Linked DNA regions of Arabidopsis thaliana. The protein of the gene in region 1 interacts with the protein of each later gene in a pairwise test. Each region holds a gene or a part of one and is shown on either strand. Other genes may lie near its edges.

Evidence for each region. The genes of interacting proteins can lie anywhere in the genome.
Region 2: the proteins of AT3G18680 (region 1) and CIPK22 interact in a two-hybrid assay, tested with the Arabidopsis thaliana proteins (one large-scale study listed by BioGRID).

What each region holds. Positions count from the first base shown.
Region 1 is NC_003074.8:6,425,858-6,430,070, reverse strand, and holds AT3G18680 (Amino acid kinase family protein), read right to left. Parts: upstream 2,669-4,213; 5' UTR 2,539-2,668; coding exon 2,324-2,538; intron 2,107-2,323; coding exon 1,965-2,106; intron 1,871-1,964; coding exon 1,817-1,870; intron 1,453-1,816; coding exon 1,361-1,452; intron 1,250-1,360; coding exon 1,023-1,249; intron 940-1,022; coding exon 551-939; downstream 1-550. Other genes in the region: MKS1 (MAP kinase substrate 1), read left to right, coding at 1-316; AT3G18670 (Ankyrin repeat family protein), read left to right, coding at 3,600-4,213. UniProt on the Arabidopsis thaliana protein: Catalyzes the reversible phosphorylation of UMP to UDP. Required for specific post-transcriptional processes of many plastid transcripts (e.g.
Region 2 is NC_003071.7:16,113,403-16,117,201, forward strand, and holds CIPK22 (CBL-interacting Serine/Threonine-kinase), read right to left. Parts: upstream 1,803-3,799; coding exon 507-1,802; downstream 1-506.

The sequences.
Region 1 (4,213 bases):
TGCTAGTCCAAGAGGAGGAAAAGAACCGGCTGCGAGAGATGAGACGGTGGAAATCAACACGGCTATGGAAGAAGCAGCTGAATTTGGTGGTTATGCTCCGGGAATACTCTCGCCATCTCCGGCCTTGTTGCCAACAGCTTCTACCGGGATATTCTCTCCGATGTATCATCAAGGTGGGATGTTTTCGCCGGCTATACCACTGGGATTATTCTCGCCGGCGGGATTTATGAGCCCGTTTCGAAGTCCTGGCTTTACTAGTTTGGTAGCTTCACCAACTTTTGCTGATTTCTTTAGTCATATTTGGGATCAAGATTAGATTTTTTTTTGGTGTTTTGCTCTGTAATTTTTTTGTATTATGTATTTTGACATATCCAATGTAGTAGCCCAAAGGGTTTAAAATGAGCTTCATGTATAAAAAGATTAACTTTCAAAAATTTCAGACAGATTCCTAGAATGTAAAACTTGTCTGCAAACTAATATATACAGGAGTTACAAGATTCTCCTGACCTAAGATACTCTAATAAGTTTTGTGTTTTGAGAATAGGCTTCTTCATGAGGTTGTTGTAACAATGGAGTTCCAAGTTCCTCCTATCAATGTACCAACTCTCTCTCCTTTGATTGCTTTGGCGATGTTCCCAGGTTCCGAAAGATTGAATACCACAACTGCAAATTGACACAGAACTAAATAAGCATTCTTGTTGTATTTTAGATGATCATGTATGCATGTGGTCAAGGTTTGAGAGAGTGTTATAGAAAACAAGCCTGGGATGTTATTTTCTTGGCACAAAGTGATAGCAGTCATATCCATTACAGAGAGGTCCTTTGAGGTGACCTCTTGGTAAGTTAGTGAGTCAAGCAGACGAGCGTTTGGGTTTCTTTTAGGATCATCGTCGAACACGCCATCAACATTTGTTGCTTTCAGCACTACTTCTGCATTAACTGTGTCCAATGCGAAAAGTTTTTTTTTAGTGTTGCGAATAATCATTGGAGAAAACTTAAACGGAAACCACCTCTTTACTTACTTTCAGCACATCGAAGAGCCGCTGCAGTATCGGTGGTGAAAAATGGATTGCCTGTTCCAGCTGCAAATATTACAACCCTTCCTTTTTCTAGATGTCTGATTGCTCGTCTTCTTATGTAAGGCTCTGCGACTTCCGACATGCGGAAAGCAGTTTGAACACGGGTTGGGATGCCAATACTCTCCATTGTCGCTTGAAGAAATATTGCATTCATCACAGTTGCCAGCATCCTATCCAATTTCAGATAAACCAATGAGACCAAAAACCTCCAGTAGAGGAAAATTCTGGATCTTCTCCGAGTAAGAAGAAGAAGATCCTTTGACACAAAGGCGTATGATTACCCGATATAATCAGCAGAGGAGCGATCAAGGCCACTGCACCCAGCCCAGGTAGATCCACGAAAGATATTTCCTCCTCCAACAACTATAGCAACCTATTGTAAAGGCGTAAGAAGATCAGACAGAGCACACACAACATTGCAATGATTCTTAATGACCCAGACACATGATCTGTTGCCGTATAGTATGTTTAAATCATAACAAATTTCTAACTTTAAGTTGTGTAATGCCATATATCTCCACCCCTTAACTTAAGCTCCCGTTTCTTGTAAGTTTGAGCTAATTGATTTCCAGCATATTTGGTTACATCTACACAGGCAATTATCAAATACTTCGGGTATTATACTTATGTATAGGAAGAACTCAAAGCTGAATACATATCCACTAAAAAATTTTGAATCCAATTATCACAATGACAACTAGAACAAGAATGTTTGAATGAAGCGTTTAGAGAATAACCTCAATGCCAAGTCGAGTCACTGCTGCAACTTCCCTTGCAATCGCCATAGTAACCTAATTAACGGGAAACTGGATGAGACTTCTGAAGTAAGGAAACAGAGAACAAAGAAAGCAAAACAAGGAGGGTTCTTTTGGTATCACAATAAACCTTTGGGTCGATATTTTGCTCCTCGTCTCCAGCAAGAGCTTCTCCACTGACTTTGAGTAAAACCCTTCTCCATTTAAGCGGTGGTTTGGATGTTCCATCAAAGGAAGGCAGTCGTGGGAAAGATGATTGCCCGTTTAAGCTACTGAAAATTACAGATGATCGCAACAGAGTATTAACAAAATCAGCCAAAGTTCCAAACATTATAAATGGGTTAAGTTTTACTTCAACCAAAACAATAAAATCAGATTTGCAATATATTTTAATAAACTCTTAAACCCTAAACCCAGAAGTATCTTCATTGACAAATTTTCACAAACATCTGGTGGGCGTAAAGATTAAAACTTGAAGATTAATAATACCTCCCGTTCCCGTTCCCGTTTCCGTTCATGGAGTCTGGAGATGAACCATTGTCTGAGGACAAAGAAGAAGAGCAGCTGATAAGTACACGCCTACTGTAATTCTGGTTGGAGAAGAAAGTACGATTGCGAAGTGTAAGAGGGACGAAGGAGGTTCGGGAAATAGACGAAGAAGTTGAGATTGGGGAGCAAGAGGTAAGAGGCAACGGAATTGCCATTGCCGGAGAGATCTAAGAAGAGATTATTTACTGAAATATTCAGTAGAGAAGTGTCGCCGGCAAAGACGGGTTTTAAGTCTGAGAAGATAAGGTCTGGTTTCAATGTAATTTACTAATTAATCAAATGAATTGTTGTGATATTTAATGTGTATATATATATATATATATATATATATATATTTGAATTATATCCCCAATAATTCACTATATTTAATCTTATCTTATCATACAAAAACGAATAACTTTCATTAAATTCTGAATATATTTAGAAAATTTTGATATATGTCAAAATGTCTTTTAGAGTTTTAACATACGTTATACATATACTTCTATAAAAAATGTAATTTTTAATCAAATTTAATTGAACACCAATTTTAGTGCACTACATATAACAAATAGCTACAAATAGATAGATATTTTCTTATATCTAAATAATTCACACTATTTTATGTGTACTTATTATTGACCAATGGTTTTTTTTCTTTTTTTATAACAATTGATTAATAGGTTTGAAATAACTACATTTGCATCCTACAAGAGAAGTGAAGAACCACAAAGCATTCTTATTTTCGTTTCAATGACTTGAAAAATATGAGTTTTCTTACCAAGTTCAAGTTTTAAAAGTTTACTAATTGCAAATTTACAAGTAACATTGTTTTTGAAGAGTGAAACTAAATTCTTTGCTTTGCAACGACGTAAATTTTTGTAACACTAAAGCTCGATCTTTTAAATATTCCCGGGAAAAGTAAAAGTAACAAACACATATAAGAAGAAAAAAACACTGATAATGATCTTGAAATCTTTCATGGTATGAATAGTCAAGGATTATTCGTATTACAGTTTATTATAATGTTTAATTACTTGAATCCTTGTCTCTTTTCTTTGTCCTTGAAACCTTGCTTCAAAGATAAGCCACCACAACTCTTTTAACACTTTACTCATGTGCCTCTGTTCGAATAACGGAAAGATATGTTTTCTTTTACAGAAAAATTATAAAAGAACAATTTTACACTTAAACAAACACATACCACCACGTTTCTTGCGGGAGAAGCAACCGACAAATGGATACCGAGAAAGGTTATCCCAGAGGTTTCAGAGCAGAGAGTCTACGACCAGAAACGGGCCCCAGAAGCTTTCGGTTTGATAGTATGCAGATCGATGAAGCAGCCGATCTACAAAAAGACGAGATACGACAAGAGAACTCGACCTATCTTGTCCTCTTCAAGAACATAGACAGTGGAGAGTTGGAAGCCACGAAAGACTTCTTGGACCGAAACCCTGAAGCTTTAACCGCAATCTTAACCTCTAATGGAGACACTCCAATCCATAAAGCTGTTTTGTCGGGTCACATCAAGATCGTGGAAGAGATCATTAGAAGAATTCATGATCCAGAGCAAGTGTTAAAGATCAAGAACGATAATGGTTATACAGCGCTTACTTATGCTGCCACTGGTGGAATTGTAAGAATTGCAGAGTGTTTGGTGAATAAGTGTCCTGGTTTGGTCAGTGTTCGGAATGCGAAAGAGCATATACCGATCGTGGTGGCTTCATTGTACGGTCACAAACATTTGGTTCAGTATCTTTACAGTCACACACCTCTCAGTGATCTTGATCCTTGTGATGATTCAGATGAACACAAGGGCAAGAACGGAGCGATGCTCGTGACAAATTGTAT
Region 2 (3,799 bases), on another chromosome or scaffold:
GGTAATCAGCAGTGACAACTATTCGTTAATCTGTAACATTCATATATATGTTTTTAATACAAACTCAAATAAACATTCATACATAAAAGATCCTGAAATACTTCGTACGATTGCCAAACAAAATCAACAACGATAAATATTACAAACGGTGTAGCATGTCCCTTAGCGCAAAATAAGGCCCAAGTTTGCAAACACACACGGTCACACATAAAAGGCTACAAAGTTCAAATCAGAGTTTTATTCAAATTCTCTCCGATGAATAAAGCAAATAATTTTTGTGTTTAAATTATACTCCGAAAATAAATAAACAAAAATAATTGAATCCCGGTTTGTTTTTTTCTTTCTTCTTGTCATTTTTATATACAAAGAGGCGGATCGTCCCATTACTCTCCCTGCTCCAATGTAAACCGAACCGGTTAACCACAATGCGTCTCGATCCCGAGTGTAGTACGTTGAAAATTCTAAAAGTAAAACGCACGGATTGTTGGTTTAGTGTTGAAACCGTTTTACGGTTTGTCAGGAACTTTATAAACCGGTTGGTTAATCAAACGACGTAACTTTTGTCTAAGAGCATCGGCCCAAACCAAGCCCACGTCTCTTTGCTTGTTCTTCATCTCCACCATCACTAGTTCATTTGTTAGCCGGCGAACTTTAACGACGACATTAGCTACTCCATGTGGACCTTCAAGCTTTATCGCTCTCTCCTTCTTCTTCGCGATTCTCAAATTTAACTGCTTCGCAACTTCCTCGACCTTCCTCATAATAACGGCCGTACTCTCATCGGATACAAACTGGTCGCAATGATCCGGCGTCACGAAATTTCCAAACAAACCGGAGAGATTCGAGCTCGACGCCGAAGAAATCAAATCGAACGCGTTTAGAATTTTACCGTTTTCTTCCAGATCGTAATCATCGGCTTGGATTCCGATGATTTCGCTTGGATCTACTCCATGATTGAACCACGGATCCTTTAGAATCTCCTCCACGGTGATTCGCAGTTCCGGATTTGGCTCCAAGAGACGGCGGAGGAGTTTCCGCAGATCTGAAGATGTCCAATCCGGTAACTTGTATTGAGCCTTGTGGATTTTCCGGTAGAGTCCCATGATGTTTGGATCACGAAACGGCAAGTAGCCTGCGTTGAGAAGAAACAAAACGACGCCGCATGACCAAATATCAGCTTTAGAACCGTCGTAGCCTTTCTTCAAAAGAAGCTCCGGTGCTACGTAAGCCGGAGTTCCACAGAGCGTATGTAGCATTCCGTCGGGGTGGATCTGCTCCTTCATCGCACTGAGACCGAAGTCTGAAACCTTCAGATCTCGATTCTCGTCGAGGAGGAGATTCTCCGGCTTCAAATCACGGTGGAAAACTCCTCTTGCGTGGCAGTATCTCACGGCGGAGATCAATTGCCGGAAATATTTCCGGCTAAGACTCTCTGTGAAACGGTTGCTGGTGACTCTTGAGAAGAGCTCACCACCTTTGGCTAGCTCCATGACGAAGTAGATCTTCGTCTTTGTGGCGAGGACTTCGGAGAGGAGCACGATATGAGGATGACGGAGGCGGCGCATGACAGATATTTCTCTCTTAACGTGCGCCGTTAAACCGTCTTTCAAACGTTTTTTTTGTACGACTTTGATCGCAACGCTTTCGCCGCCGTTTTGAAGATCCTCCGCTTGGTAGACTTTGGCAAACGCGCCGCTACCGAGGAGCTTACCGAGATCGTACTTACCGAACAAAGCCGACTTATTATCATCTCCGGTGACGTTAACAATGATTGATTCGGAAGAATTAGAGTCTTCGGCCATTAACAAACAAACAAAAAAAACAGAGCAAAAAAACAGAGTAAAGAGAAACAGTCTAGGAATTGTAAAAGACATGCGCGCGGTGCCTCTTCTTATTGAAATTCCTCAACTTGCCACGTAAGTAAGCTATTATTTTAAACAAAGATTTTAAAATAGTTTGACTTTATTATAAAATGCATTAAACAAATAAATGAAAGAAACAATCTTCACAAAAGACAATTTCAAAATGCGATAACATTTTCGATTTTTACTAATTTGAATTAGTTGCGATATATCAACCAGGTTAGAGATAGAGTCATTTTCTCCTGAAATAATTTACGATTCAAGGAATTTTCATGATTCTTTCCCCAATGTGTGGTTCATGTTGTTGTTACCAAACATCTGCCTTGTCAGGTCAACCAAAACCTTCTAATTCCAGGTGGGATTTAAAGTCTTAATTTATTTGTTTTTGTAGGAGCTGGGAAAACTCGACATATTTTTTTTTTTTAAACGTTCATCGTTGACAAAAATAAAAACTTTATCAAAAATAAAAAGAACGTCTATATAAAAATATTTGAATAATGTGAAAGAAAAAAACAACGTGGATTGACGTTACTTTGTATAGAATGCTAAGCAGTATACATGACGATGTTTTAAGCTTCTTTACCGGTTAAGATGGTACTTTAGTTCTGAGGATATGATTTGGTTCTTAAAACATAAGAATATATATTCATCAGGTAGAAGTGTACAACCAAATCAAGACAAGTGAACCGGACCAAATTTTATGTGAACTATATCTCGCAACATTGCATGTGCATGTAAAGATGTTTAGACACGAATGTTATATCGTGGGTACAAATCAACCATCCTTAATTCTGATGAAATTGTTGGTCTTTAACCGCATCCAACCGTAGCAACCCAATCAAACCAAGAACATTATCCAGTCAATAAATAACCTTTAAATTTGAGTGACAAAATAATAACATTTAAATTTGAATGTTGTTTGAAATTCAATGCCACATATAATAATTACTTTTTAATAGCTGGAAATTTTGTTATCTAAGGATTAATGATGGGCAAATTAAGTTTTTCTTATAATTAATTTGAAGTTGGATTCGTGGATCCAAGTCATTCGTGTGTGGATTAAAATCATACTAGTACCCCTTTTGTTGTTGAAAAAGCCAAAAAATTAATCCTTACACGTGAACTTGTTCAAAACATTATCATAAACCTGTAAATTTTTGACCAAAAACAAGAAACCTCTAAAAAAAGAATTAGGAAATATGCAAAAGCAAAAACTCGACAAAGTAAAACGAATAAAGAAAACAACTCTTGCTCATTCATTCATGTGTTCCAATATGTAGGTGTTAGCTTTCGTAACGGTATTTACTATCTATTTGCCTTTTAGTTTATTGACTTTATCTGAATGAAAATTAACACCTAACAGTCGGCAGTAATACCCAACCAAACTTCAAAAGTTATCTCGATTTTATCGTACGGTCACACAGTCATTTAGACTATGACATCCGGGCGTCATTGTGGAGTCATACCCAACCGGAAAAACCAACCATCGAATCATCACATCGAATATAATGCCCAACCGCCAAGTCAACTTATTTATGTGCTATATCGATCCATTTAAAAACATCAATTCTTTTGAAAAACAAATACATCACCATTGCTTTATTATTGAATATTGATCTTCTCATTGTTATCGTCATCAAGAATAAAGACATCTACTTCAAAGAGACACCGTCTTTACCACCGTGATGGTGTACGTCAGCCATCGACATCGTCCGTACACCCACCCTCACTCTTAATTTAAGACGTTTCTTCTTTCTCACGCATCGTCATATATTGTGTGATTTCTTTAAAAATGTTATTAAAAAAACTCTACGAAGCAAAGTTTGTAAAACCAACCGTCAGAAGATTTCTACGACATTTTGTCTTTGTTTACGAAAAGAATTTAACAAAAGCATAAAAAAAAAAATTGATGGTTTTATGATTAGACAAATTTTTTG